Linked DNA regions of Lonchura striata. The protein of the gene in region 1 binds, or shares a complex with, the protein of each later gene. Links are inferred from orthologs where the notes say so. Each region holds a gene or a part of one and is shown on either strand. Other genes may lie near its edges.

Evidence for each region.
Region 2: XPO1 (region 1) and XPO5 share a complex: the UniProt entries of both Homo sapiens proteins name them as parts of the nuclear export receptor complex. The link is inferred for Lonchura striata from reciprocal best matches to the Homo sapiens genes XPO1 and XPO5.
Region 3: the proteins of XPO1 (region 1) and RANGAP1 are in contact, whole or in part, in a cryo-EM structure (PDB 9B62), measured with the Homo sapiens proteins. The link is inferred for Lonchura striata from reciprocal best matches to the Homo sapiens genes XPO1 and RANGAP1. Residues at the interface, in NP_003391.1 of Homo sapiens: Lys245, Ser248, Thr249, Tyr252, Lys253, Glu281, Gln282, Val284, Thr285, Leu289, Met292, Gln293, Gln296, Arg340, Asn342, Leu343, Lys514, Val518, Ile521, Lys522, Leu525, Glu529, Arg532, Lys534, Lys537, Ala538, Ala541, Met545, Phe554, His558; in NP_001265580.1 of Homo sapiens: Ala2, Asp5, Ile6, Leu9, Ala10, Thr12, Leu13, Ala14, Thr16, Gln17, Val18, Ala19, Gln22, Leu23, Ser24, Phe25, Lys28, Glu44, Arg55, Ala561, Thr564, Lys565, Pro566, Ser568, Glu571, Ser572, Ser574, Phe575, Arg577, His578.

The regions. Positions count from the first base shown.
Region 1 is NC_134605.1:25,062,733-25,066,474, forward strand, and holds the start of XPO1 (exportin-1), read left to right. Parts: upstream 1-1,287; 5' UTR 1,288-1,411; exon of another isoform or gene 1,412-1,426; intron 1,427-1,622; exon of another isoform or gene 1,623-1,948; 5' UTR 1,949-2,004; intron 2,005-2,546; exon of another isoform or gene 2,547-2,662; intron 2,663-3,742. UniProt on the Homo sapiens protein: Mediates the nuclear export of cellular proteins (cargos) bearing a leucine-rich nuclear export signal (NES) and of RNAs.
Region 2 is NC_134605.1:36,045,495-36,049,236, reverse strand, and holds the start of XPO5 (exportin-5), read left to right. Parts: upstream 1-1,291; 5' UTR 1,292-1,389; coding exon 1,390-1,494; intron 1,495-1,733; coding exon 1,734-1,855; intron 1,856-2,467; coding exon 2,468-2,540; intron 2,541-3,090; coding exon 3,091-3,228; intron 3,229-3,534; coding exon 3,535-3,717; intron 3,718-3,742. Other genes in the region: POLH (DNA polymerase eta), read right to left, coding at 1-114, 386-627, 716-850, 949-1,085. UniProt on the Homo sapiens protein: Mediates the nuclear export of proteins bearing a double-stranded RNA binding domain (dsRBD) and double-stranded RNAs (cargos). XPO5 in the nucleus binds cooperatively to the RNA and to the GTPase Ran in its active GTP-bound form.
Region 3 is NC_134607.1:58,518,408-58,522,149, forward strand, and holds the start of RANGAP1 (ran GTPase-activating protein 1), read left to right. Parts: upstream 1-1,457; 5' UTR 1,458-1,543; intron 1,544-3,742. UniProt on the Homo sapiens protein: GTPase activator for RAN. Converts cytoplasmic GTP-bound RAN to GDP-bound RAN, which is essential for RAN-mediated nuclear import and export. Mediates dissociation of cargo from nuclear export complexes containing XPO1, RAN and RANBP2 after nuclear export.

The DNA.
Region 1 (3,742 bases):
CGCCTCAGCAAATCTATACAGAGTTTCCTTTGGAAATCATCCAGAGGGCATTCCACAAATCAAAAGTATCACTCCTATAACAAGCTTCACAGACCAGTGTAATGCCATCCCAAAAACAAAGTAACTGCTTGAAGAGATAGAAAATAAAGTTTGTTTCGAGAAGGGAAATTAAATACTTCCTAATAGTAGCCTCCTCACAGAAGTGAGTAATAAGCTTCTATAGCTAAGGGTTTTTCAAATGAGGGTTAAAACTGAAAAATGCATCTGTAGGCACAGAGTACATTCACTGGTAGGAGCTTTTCCATGTGGAAGTTGGCAAGCACGTCCTCTACTCCTTCAGGCAGCAATGAGATGAGCAACCACAGCATGCCAAGCTTGTGCCGCCACAGAAAATCTCCGAATCACCCCTGTTCACGTTTGGTTTCCTACTACACCTCACACAGCTCGATATTTCGCTAAGTCTAAAGCCAGCCTTGCCTGAAGCACAATTTGGAGGGCAGCTGCAGGAAGCTGGACATGCCATGGACAGAGGCACCGTAAAGGAGGGGACACACACCGCCCTCGCACTCTGCACAGGCTCTGGTGGAGAGCATAGGACTGCTGGGGTAGGGGACAGCAAGCACCCACCGAGGGCTGGTGCCCCTGCTGCTCACAGGGCCCACTCTACAGCTGAGATATTCTGCTGCACTCCACTCCCTCCCAGAGAGAGGGAGGGACCTGTAGGGTAATGCCCGCCATTCCACACAGCCCCCACACGGAGGGTGCCCCATCTCCCTCGGAAGCGGCGCCTCAGCGCGAACGGGATGGTGCTCGACCCCCTTCCGCTCCCGCCATTGCGCCTCATGCACGCGCCCGGGGGCGCCCAACGGCCGCGCCGCTCCCGCCCCCTCCCGCCGCAGCCCCGAAAGCCGCGCTCAGGCGCGCGCGTCATGCCGCCACCGCCGCCGGCCAATGAGAGCGCGGCCAGGCCTGCGCCCGCGCTTTGCGAGCACGGAGGCAGGGCGCCCCTGAGTGACAGCGCGGCTCGGCCTATCGGGGAGCGGCATTCCCCCCCTTAGCGCTCAAAGCGCTGCTGGAGAGGGGGCGGGTCCCCTCTACTCCCCTCCCCGCCGCCCCCCCGCCCCTCGCCCCCTCCGCCGCCCCTCGCCCCCCCGCCCATCCGAGCCGCGCAGCGGATTGACAGCCCGTCTGACCAATCACCGTGGCGGCCGCCTTCGCGGCGGCACATCCCGGAGCCAATGGGAGCGGCGGCTGGGCGGGGCCCCCGAGGTTTCCAAACGCTCCGCGGCGCCATGGGCTGAAAACTAAACCGAGATGGAATCTCCCAGTCTGAACCGGTTTGAGCCGGTTCCGTGCCTGTGGCATTAGGAGGGGGAGACGCGCCGCGCTCAGTCCCCGTCGCCGCCGCCGCGTGTGTGACCTGCTCGTAGGGGACCTGTAGCTGAGGGGGCGAAGTTTAGTGCGAGCCGCGGGGGGGGGGTGGCGGGAATGGGGGCGAACTGAGCGCCGGGCGGGGAGGGCGGCAGCCGCAGGGGCAGCGAGAGCCGGCGGGGCCGGGCCTGGGCGGCGCGGGAGGCGCAGCCGGGTAGAGATCCCCCCACAACAGCGAGGTCGGAGCGCCGCGCCGGCCGCTTTCCCGGGGCTGTGGGGAAGGCGCGGAGCCGAGCGCGGAGCCCCGGGGGCAGCTGCGGGCGCCTGGTGCAGCCAGGCCGGGCACGCTGCGAGGGGAGGAGTGGCGCCACTAACCCCGACCCACCACCGAGGAGGGAGCGCTCGCCTTCCCCCCCACCTCTTGCCGTGGTGGTTTTTTCCCTCCTTCCGCGCTGTTTTTTTTTTTTTTTCCCTCCTTCCGTGGTCTTTTTATTTTTTCTTCTTCATTTTGGGAAGGGATTATTTTTGGTGGTCTTTTTTTATTTTTTTTTTTTTTCTTGTGGTGTGTGGTGGTTAGAAACTTGGCTCGCTCGCCCCTACTTTCTGAAGGAAGAGGCTGTGAGAAACCCCTAGGTAAGCGAGGGTTGTGGGGGTGTCGCGATGGGCAACGCGGAGGGGGCAAAGGGGGGTATTTTGAGGGGCAGAACGGGGGGATGTGCCCGTGCAGGGGGCCCCAGTGCCTGGCCTATGCTAGGAGAGATGTGATGGACCCCGTGGAGAAGCCCTGAGGGGCGGGGGTGCGCTCGGATGGGGTTTGGGGTACGAGCATCCCCGGCCTGGCCGAGCGCAGCCACGGATGCTGCGGGGGATGCTCCTCGTTAGGAGGGGCCCGGGCAGGCTGGGATCGGGTACGGGCAAACCCGGCGACATAATCTGTAAATTATTAGGAGTGGAAGTTTCCAGAAATATTTTTTGTGTGTATGTTCTGTGCAGCAGTATTGAAACGTCCGCCTGGATCACGTGGGGAGCCCTGTATAGCGCGCAGGGCTGGAGCTCAGGGGAGAAGGGGGAGGAGGGAGGGGGAGGCTGCGGGGCCACCGCGCTCCGCAGGGCCCCGGCCCGCCCGACCCAGCCCCGGGCCCTTTCCCCGCCGGGAGCCGGTGCCCCGCCGGCCGGAGCCGGGAGCGGCTACCCGAGAGCTGGGCGCTGCCCGCCCAGGGGCGCTGCGGCAGGAGCCGGGGAAGGCCGCGGCGCTGGGTGGTTATTTCCAGCCGAAAATGAACGCTCCGAGGTGTCGGTCAGATGTTGCTTAATCCGTCTCGTCCTTCTTCACGTGTGTGTGTGTGAAGGAGCAAAGGGAAGGGGCGGTTTCGTTGCCATTGCTGGTGTGTGGAGCGTGATGCGAACGCGTTTGTCGTGCGCTGCGTTTCATAGCCACTCACCCCTCCTGGGTGGGCTTTACAAGTGGTGCAGCTAATTCCTTGGAAGAGGGAGGAAATTCACTTGCATTGCGTGCTTGGAAATGGGGCATAGTGACTCTCCCAGGGTGGGTTTGCTTTTTTTTTTTTTTTTAGTCTGCCCTCAGTGAGCTTTAAATATCTGGGTTAAAGGGTGCTGCTGTAGGATTCATGGTAAATGCTCAACATTTCTCACTATTAAGTGCCTGCTGTTATTCCTGTGTGCTACGGGCCAAAATGAATCGGGTGTACCACAACAAGCTAACTGTTGTGTTAAAGGTCCAGGGTCATCGAGAGTTGGGATAACTGTGTAAACAGTGCTGTTAATGCAGTTCTTTTGACCTTCGGTAGATGTCACATTCTTGCTGTGTTGTAGTCGAAATTTTTTTTTTTTGGTTTGGTTTTTGCTTTTTGGTTTTTTTTTTAACTTTTTCTCTTCTGCTTCTGTTTGCTCATTTATTGAAGGACTGATCACTGGTGGTTCTTAGAGATGAGGCTTAAATGTGTTCCGGAGTTCAGCATGATGGGGGAGGGAAAAGTGTAGGAGTATAGTAAATCAGAGATTATAAGCTTCATGTGGGTAAAGGGTTAGGACTGGGAGATCGAGTTGGCTGCAGGTGGTGGTGGCCACAAAGCCGCCATTTCTGTGTTTCGGCTGGCGAAGTAGGTAGGTCATATTGAAGATAATGCTGGGAGTGGCGAAGGGCCCTATTCAAAACATTTCCTTTCTGCTTCCATGTGTTGAATAACTTCTCTCGGTCACGCTGCTCCTCCTTGGCGCTCTCGGGGTGGCCTGAAAACCGCCGAAAGAGGCTCAAGTCTGAAATGAATGGCCCTACCTGAGGAGCGACTGGTGCACGACATTTATTGTAGTTCGGAAACCGCTATCCCGGCTCAGCCATGGAGGCCAGGTG
Region 2 (3,742 bases), about 11 Mb from region 1:
CCCTAATTTCTTCCACAATTACTGCGCCCATGGTCAGCTGCAGGTCAGGACAATCTGGGTTATCGTAAGACAGCGACGCCAGCCACTCGTCCAAACTACGTTGCCGCAGCTCCTCTAGAAAAGGGACACAAAAGGGATCTCAAGAGGACACGATATGGCACTTCTTGCTGAGCCCAGCAAAGGGACCCGCAGCAGCTAGTCCAGCCAGCAGCCGCAGGCTTCTGTAAGCGCATTCCAGCCACAGCGAGGACACCTTAAAAGCACCACAGGCATCTTAAAAGCCATTCACTGCGGAAAACGCAGATCCCATTTACGACGCTCTCGATCCAGGGGAGTCAGAGCAGGCGGAGTGGGCCTTTCCCGGGGGGCGGGGGTGGGTGCATACCCTTCCCGGCGGGATCCGCTCGGTGCACGCCCTTCCCGGCGGGATCGGGGCCGGGCTCCCCGGGCAGTCCCTGCACGAAGGTGCTGGGCAGCAGCGCGGCCGGCAGGGGGCGCCCGCGCAGCTCACGCAGCCGGAGGCGCGCGCTGCCCGTCAGGTCCAGGTACGCCTCGTCGATGCTCGCGCGCTCGATGGCGGCGAAGCGCGACAGCACCCGCATCACCTCCGCGCTGGCCTCCCGGTACCTGCCGGGCGGCGGGCACGCCTCAGCCGCCGCCCCGCGCCACCGGGGAGGCCCGCGCCGCCGCCGCCACCCCCGGCCTCCGCTCTCACCGTGTGAGGTCCGCCTTGCCCCGTGCCTGCGGCACCCGGGCCAGCGCCAGCTCAGGGCACAGCGCCCGCGCCTCCGACGCCCACATCCCGCGGGATACGCCGAAGGCGCGCGCCTCGTAGCTCACCGCGATGATCCTGCCGAGACACAGAGGTGAAGTGCAGGGCGGGCCCGGCCCCGCGGGGATCGGGGTGGGACGAGGAGCCGAAGTCGCCAAGCCGGCTCGCCTACGTACCCGCCGCCCTGCCACTCGGTGTACTGCACCACGGCGCAAGGGCGGCCGCGCAGCTGCGGGTCGAGACGCTGCTCCACCTGCATGAAGAAGCAGTCCATGTCTACCAGGGCCACCACCCGCTCCCGGCCCCGAGACATCCCGCTGCCGCCACCAGCTCCCGCCCGACTGAGTGAATGATTGAATAACCGCCCGCTCGGTGGGGCGGAGAGCCCCGCCTCGGCCCGTCGCTTTGCGGCATCCGTATTTTCTGCGTAGGGACCGCCGGGAGTCGTAGTTCTCCAGGGCGCGGCGGGGCGTGCGTGTGTCCCCGCCGCGACGGTGCGCGGCGCCCGCGTTCGCCGTGTCCCCGTGTCCCCCAGGGCGCATGCGCGGAGCTACGTCCCGGCCGCCCCGCTCGTCCCTCCCGTGGGTGGCCGGTGGCGCGCGCCCGCCGCCGCCGCCATGTCCGCCGAGCAGGTGAGCGGCCTCTGCGAGCAGCTGGTGAAGGCGGTCACCGTCATCATGGACCCGGCGTCCACGCAGCGGTACCGCCTGGAGGCCCTCAAGGTACGGCCCGGCCGGGAAGGGCGCCAGGCTCCGGCAAGCGGGCACCCCGTCCGCACGGCCCCGGGGCGGGCGAGAGCCGGGCGGGCCGGTCCCGGTCGTGGCCTGAAGTGCGGGAGCCGTCAGCAGGCGGCGGGGGCCGGGCGGCCGCGTGTGCCCGGCGTGCTGCGCCAGGGATGGGGCTGCCACCTCCTGCCCCGGTGTGTAACTGCGTGTTCGTGTCCTGGGCCTCCCTCCCCTAGTTCTGCGAGGAGTTCAAGGAGAAGTGCCCCATCTGCGTGCCCTGCGGGCTGAAGCTGGCGGAGAAGACGCAGACGGCCATCGTCCGGCACTTCGGCCTGCAGATCCTGGAGCATGTGGTCAAGTAAGTCAGCTCGCCCGGTGCCGCCGAGCTGGGGAAGGGTCCCAGCCTGCCAGCTCTGGTGAGATATGTGCCCATTCCGGCACCTCCCACCCCAGGGAGGCATTTTCAGTACGCAGGGAGTTTGTTCTGCAGCAGAGGACAGTTGCAGTCCTACTCCGGATTTTTTTCTTATTCTGTAAAAGAGAGGATAGAATTGCTTTCAGGCACATTGGGATGGTGAATTTACTGAGCTGTAACACACATTAACATCAAAAGATGAAAACAAGCACACTGGGCTACCAGTAGGTCTTTGCAGAGTTTTGTCACTGGCCTCCTGCTAACAAAGAGGCTTTGTATTAGTTCAGTTCTGAGATTCCTTTCTCTGCTGCCTCTACAGACCTGGTGCTTTGTGCTTTTGCTGCTGCTTCTCGTGTCTGTTGACCTCGGTGGGGCATGCCCATTTGCCAGCAGCAGTTGTAACTCAGCCCTTTTATTAAGGAATTGGGTGCTGGCAGAGGCAGGGAGCTGGTAGTGTCTCCAGTTTCGGTAAAGAAGCAAATGGTTCCTTGAGAATCAAGTCAGAAATCCAGATGTTTTTACTTTATTTCTTTTTTGTTTATATGTTCTTAACAGATACCGTTGGAACAATATGCCTCGCTTAGAAAAAGTTTATCTAAAGAACAATGTTATGGGCCTCATATCCAGTGTAAGTACCTGCTGCCCCAGGCTGTTGTGAAATGTGAGAGTAAAAGTAAAAACTACTGCAGTTAATTTACACAGAGGATCTGAATTCAGTTTTTCATTTCATTGCTTTTTTGCTTTGCATCTCTGGTTGTTTCAGTGCTTTTCTCTGTCTTGTCAGGTGAATAGCCATGTTACCTCACATGGCAGGAAGTTGTGAGGCTTATATAGCGTATGTAACATACTTTTACTTTTCTTAGGAGGAAATTCATTAACTGTGGATGTTCTTATCTTTTGCAAAAATACTAAACCCATTGTATTAGTTGTTTTTTTTTCCTGTTGTGATTGCTCTTGTGACCAAGTGACCTTTTGAGGAGAGTCTGTCTATGGAGCTATAATGTTTGGGAGCATAGGAGCGTCATCTAAGGTAGCTGCAATGAAGCACTGCCCAATGTTGTGTTTTGTTTTGGTTTTAGTTTCTGTGGTTTAGAATGTTTGCAAACACTGTTTCCCAGGTCAGAGTTATAAATGCCTGAAGCTTGCTGTTCTGTGTAACAGTCCCCTTTCTGTCACAGGGAACTCAAAGTATCCTGGAGGAGGAAAGTCACATTAAAGATGTGCTGTCTCGCATTGTGGTAGAGATGATCAAGCGGGAATGGCCTCAGCACTGGCCTGACATGCTAAAGGAGCTGGATACCCTCTCCAAACAAGGGGTATGAAACACAGTTGTCTGGTCTCTTTTGCTTGCTCTTAGTGTGGGGTTCAGTCTTCCATCATCCTGAGAAAAATCTAACTCACTCATGGTCAAGTGAGACAGGTTGGTGATGGACTCAAAAATCCCTGTAAGATTATGCTATCTTGAGATGACTAGCAGAGAGGGGGCCATCCTGCTGTTTTATTTTCTCAACATGAGACATACTTCATGCATGCTTGCTTTCTCTCCACATCTTTGAGCTGGTCTCTAGAGATTTTAATGTTTGGACTGTGCTGATGGAGTGTATTTCACTTTGGGACATCAGGAAACTCAGACAGAACTGGTGATGTTCATCCTTCTACGTTTGGCAGAGGATGTAGTGACTTTTCAAACTCTACCTACCCAGCGGCGACGAGATATCCAGCAAACCCTCACCCAGAACATGGAAAAGATCTTCAGCTTCCTACTAACTGCCCTGCAGCAGAATGTCAGCAAGTACAGATGCATGGTAAGAGTCTCCTTCCCTTTGGTTT
Region 3 (3,742 bases), on another chromosome or scaffold:
ACATTGGAGAACATTGTCTAATGCTCTTCATAATGTTTTATTGCAATGCACACTTTTAGGTATTGGTTTTGATCCAAAAATTGCTATTATCCATGGATAAGACAATGTTTATTTTTATTAGCTCTTCAGAATGTTATGTGTAATAAATATAATTCGCGCCATTCCTTGTATGAAATATGTAATATTGGATATTTGTTAAATCATGCCCGTCGTATTAGTTTCCCCCCCCCCTCCCCCTTTACAGGCGAGACTGGATGTATATTAGAAACTGATTTACAAGTAAAAGGATGTGGCTCGGCCAGGAGATGGGCCATATCTGGGCTCCAGGTGTTGATCATCACCATCGGTGCTGATCGTCTGAGATGGATATCATGGAAATCCTTAGACAGATCCATGTGAATGCAGCCTTCCCGTAAACTCTCATCAAGAATTCAACTACTCCGAATTCAACTACTCTGGACATTGAATTATTTCTCCTCATCACCAAAAAAAGAAAATCTTATTAACCTATAGACTCTGAATAGAAGAAAAGACTAACTGCTCAAATCTTGGCCTCAGGTGGAATTTTCCCTATAAAAACCACTCGGGCCAGGATGGAGGTGTGTGGGCATAGGGGAAAACCTCTGCTGAGGCTGACTCCTTGTTGCACACCCAGGGCCGACCCCGGGCTCGGCTCTGTTCTTTCCGTGTGGCTGGCTAGATAGAATTTGACCGCTAATAAAATTATTTTTATTTTTAATCTGGCTGAATAAATTCTCATTTATAACACCAACCAAGGCTTTTTTTCCATCCTGAAGCAGGAATGACTTTGCACTCCAGGGTGAAAGCGACAGATGAGAGGACATAGCCATATGCTGTACCAGTGGAGGTTCACGTTGGCCATTAGGAGGAATTTTATCACAGAAAGGGTGTTTGAGTATTGGGATGAACTGCCCGGGGAGAAGTGGTATTGTCACCGTCCCTGGAAGTGTTTAAGACTGGATGTGGCAGTTAGTGCCATGGTCTAGTTGATCAGGTGTTGTTTGATCATAGGTTGCACTCGACGATCTCAGAGATCTTTTCCAAGCTAACAGATTCCGTGATTCTGTGAAATGCCTTCCTTAGCAGAACGGTCTGACAGTAACACGTGAGTACGAACAGGAGACCCCAGGGACATTATCTAGGCGAGGCTTCACATCAGAAAGTCCTCGTGTCCCACCTGCGGGCTTGCGGGCGCTTCTCCAGCGACACTTCCGCCAGTGGGGGTTGTGAGCGCGGCGCGGACAGAGCCCCGCGCAGCGCAGAGCAGGAACGGGACTACAACCCCCGGCGCGCCCCGCGGCCGCTGCCGCGCGCGCCCCGCAGCCTGGCGACACCGGCTGCAGTGCGGCAGCGGAGCGCGCCCCGTGACGTCGCGACGCAGCAGCCAATCCCGGAGCGGGGAGCAGAACTGCCGGCGTTCAAATCCTCCGCCTCCCCCGCCCGCCCCTCACCCAGCGGCCCCGGCGCGGCGGCAGCGGCGTGAGGCTCCCGCGCCTTCCCCGGTGGCGGAATCCCCGAGGAGGTGAGGGCAGAGGCGGCAGCCGCCGTCTCCGTTAGCGGCCGGCGGAGGGGGCCGTGCGTGCGGGGGGGCGATCCCGCGGGCTGACGCGCCCCTCGGCCCCGCCTGCGGGGGGCGCTCCCACGCGCAGGCGGGGCCCCCCGCTCGCGTCGCGCGTGTCCGGCGGCGGGTCCCCCACGCGCTCCGCTGCCCGCGCGGGGCGGCAAGGGGCGTTCCGGCCGCGTGGGGCGGGGCCGTGCGGCCTGCGCTCGGCGGCTCCCGCGGGGCAAGAGCGGCGCTGGGGGCTGTCAGCGGCCGGCCGGGCGGGCACTCGGGCTGTCGCCCCGCGCTGCCCGGTGCCCCGTGGCTGGGCGAGCAGCACGTAGCTGGTGCGTTGGTTGTTGGGGTAGATGAAGTGTTGTAACTAAAGTATGCGTCTGAACTAACTTTTTCGATCATAGGGGAACGTAAAGTTTCATACATCCCTTAAGTGAAAAGGAAACCTGTCTTTAGGCGTTTCCAGATCTTGGTTGTGTTTGCCAAACGGACTACCTCTTCCTTCTTTCCTTCTTTCCTTCTTTCCTTCTTTCCTTCTTTCCTTCTTTCCTTCTTTCCTTCTTTCCTTCTTTCCTTCTTTCCTTCTTTCCTTCTTTCCTTCTTTCCTTCTTTCCTTCTTTCCTTCTTTCCTTCTTTCCTTCTTTCCTTCTTTCCTTCTTTCCTTCTTTCCTTCCTTCCCAAAAGCTTTTTCAGCGTAAGAATTAACAGTAACGAGACCTCTGGTAGGTTGACAGGTGGGTGTGGGTGACATGTGCTATAAAACATGCTTCAGGATGTGTATGTTGAGATTAGAAGGTAGTCTATGTGTAAGGTGAAGAACAACAAAGGTGATTCAAGGGAAAGAGAAGCCAGGAGGATGTGAACATCTGTAAGAAAGATGATCATAATAGATTAGAAATTATTTTTAAGAGTAAAGTTGTTAACTTTACTCTTAAACTAGGTGGACAGGCTGACTTCTGCAGATAGTAACTTATGTTCCTATCTGGTAAAGCCTTCATGGTTTGGAGGATGTCCTCTTTCTTCTCAGTGTTGGATTGGCAGAGGCTGGGCGTGTCCATGAGTTTGGTATCTGGGTGTCTAGTAGGACTGGAATAAGCTATGTGGGTTTGATGCCTGAAGTTTTAGCTTTCATGTTTTTCAGGTTCTGTACTGCCTTAGTGTGTAACTCTGAACTTCATATAAAGTGTTAGCAAGTTCTCTTCACAGGGCAGGTAGACAAAACAATCCTTTTCCAGCCTGAGAACCAAGGACACTGTTGCAGCTTCATGCCCAAAAAGTGTGAACAACAGCAAATTGAGGAAAGCCATCTGGGAGGATGGGACTTCATAACCTGAAGCTGTAATTGGACAATTAACCCCAACATGGAAATAGACCAAAACTTATAAAATATGAAACCTCATGATCAGGTGTCCATCTTGGGTGGAGTCATGGCTGGTCTGCTGTACTGCCCAAGGTTTATCTTTTGAAGGCCTTTTAATAAACACCTACTTTATTGCTTTAACTCTGTCTAGCCTCTGTTCAGGTAGCCACAGTAGGCATCAGTTTCTTTCTACTGGCAGCAACTACTTGAGAGGATAGTCATCCTAGAAAAATTATGTTGCTCAGCCTTGGAGATTTTCACCCCCTGTTTCCAAAAGTGATATTAAAATTAAAGACCCCTGAAAAGAAGTCATACTCTGGGGAAGCTGGGGTATCAGGAGGAAAGTGTGCAGAGGAAAATATACAGTTTTCCTATAGAGGATATTTTAAAACCAGCACTATTGACCTCAAGCAGCTACAAGAGTGTGGGGTCACTTCTAATCAGACAGGAATGGAAGGGAACCAGTTTTCTGTTGCAGGAATGGAACTTCATCCCTTCTGACATCTAAAGTCTAAGTGTGGGGTTTCTAAGCATTAGTTGTGTGTAGCCTTTTATCTCAGCAGAGACAGTGGGATAAGAAATGTACTCTAGTTATTGTGCTCAATGGATGGAGGGCAGTTCCTTCAGCCAGTGATTAATATTCATTAAATAATGCTATGCAGATGCTACCAGACATGGCTAGCTTCAAATTTGTGCCTCAAGGCTAGATGCTCATTAATTTATTTTAAGTGTAAGATCATCCTGTTTAACGTGTGATGAATTTGTGTGGAACATCTGAAAGGAGAGAGCACCCAGGAAGCTGAGAG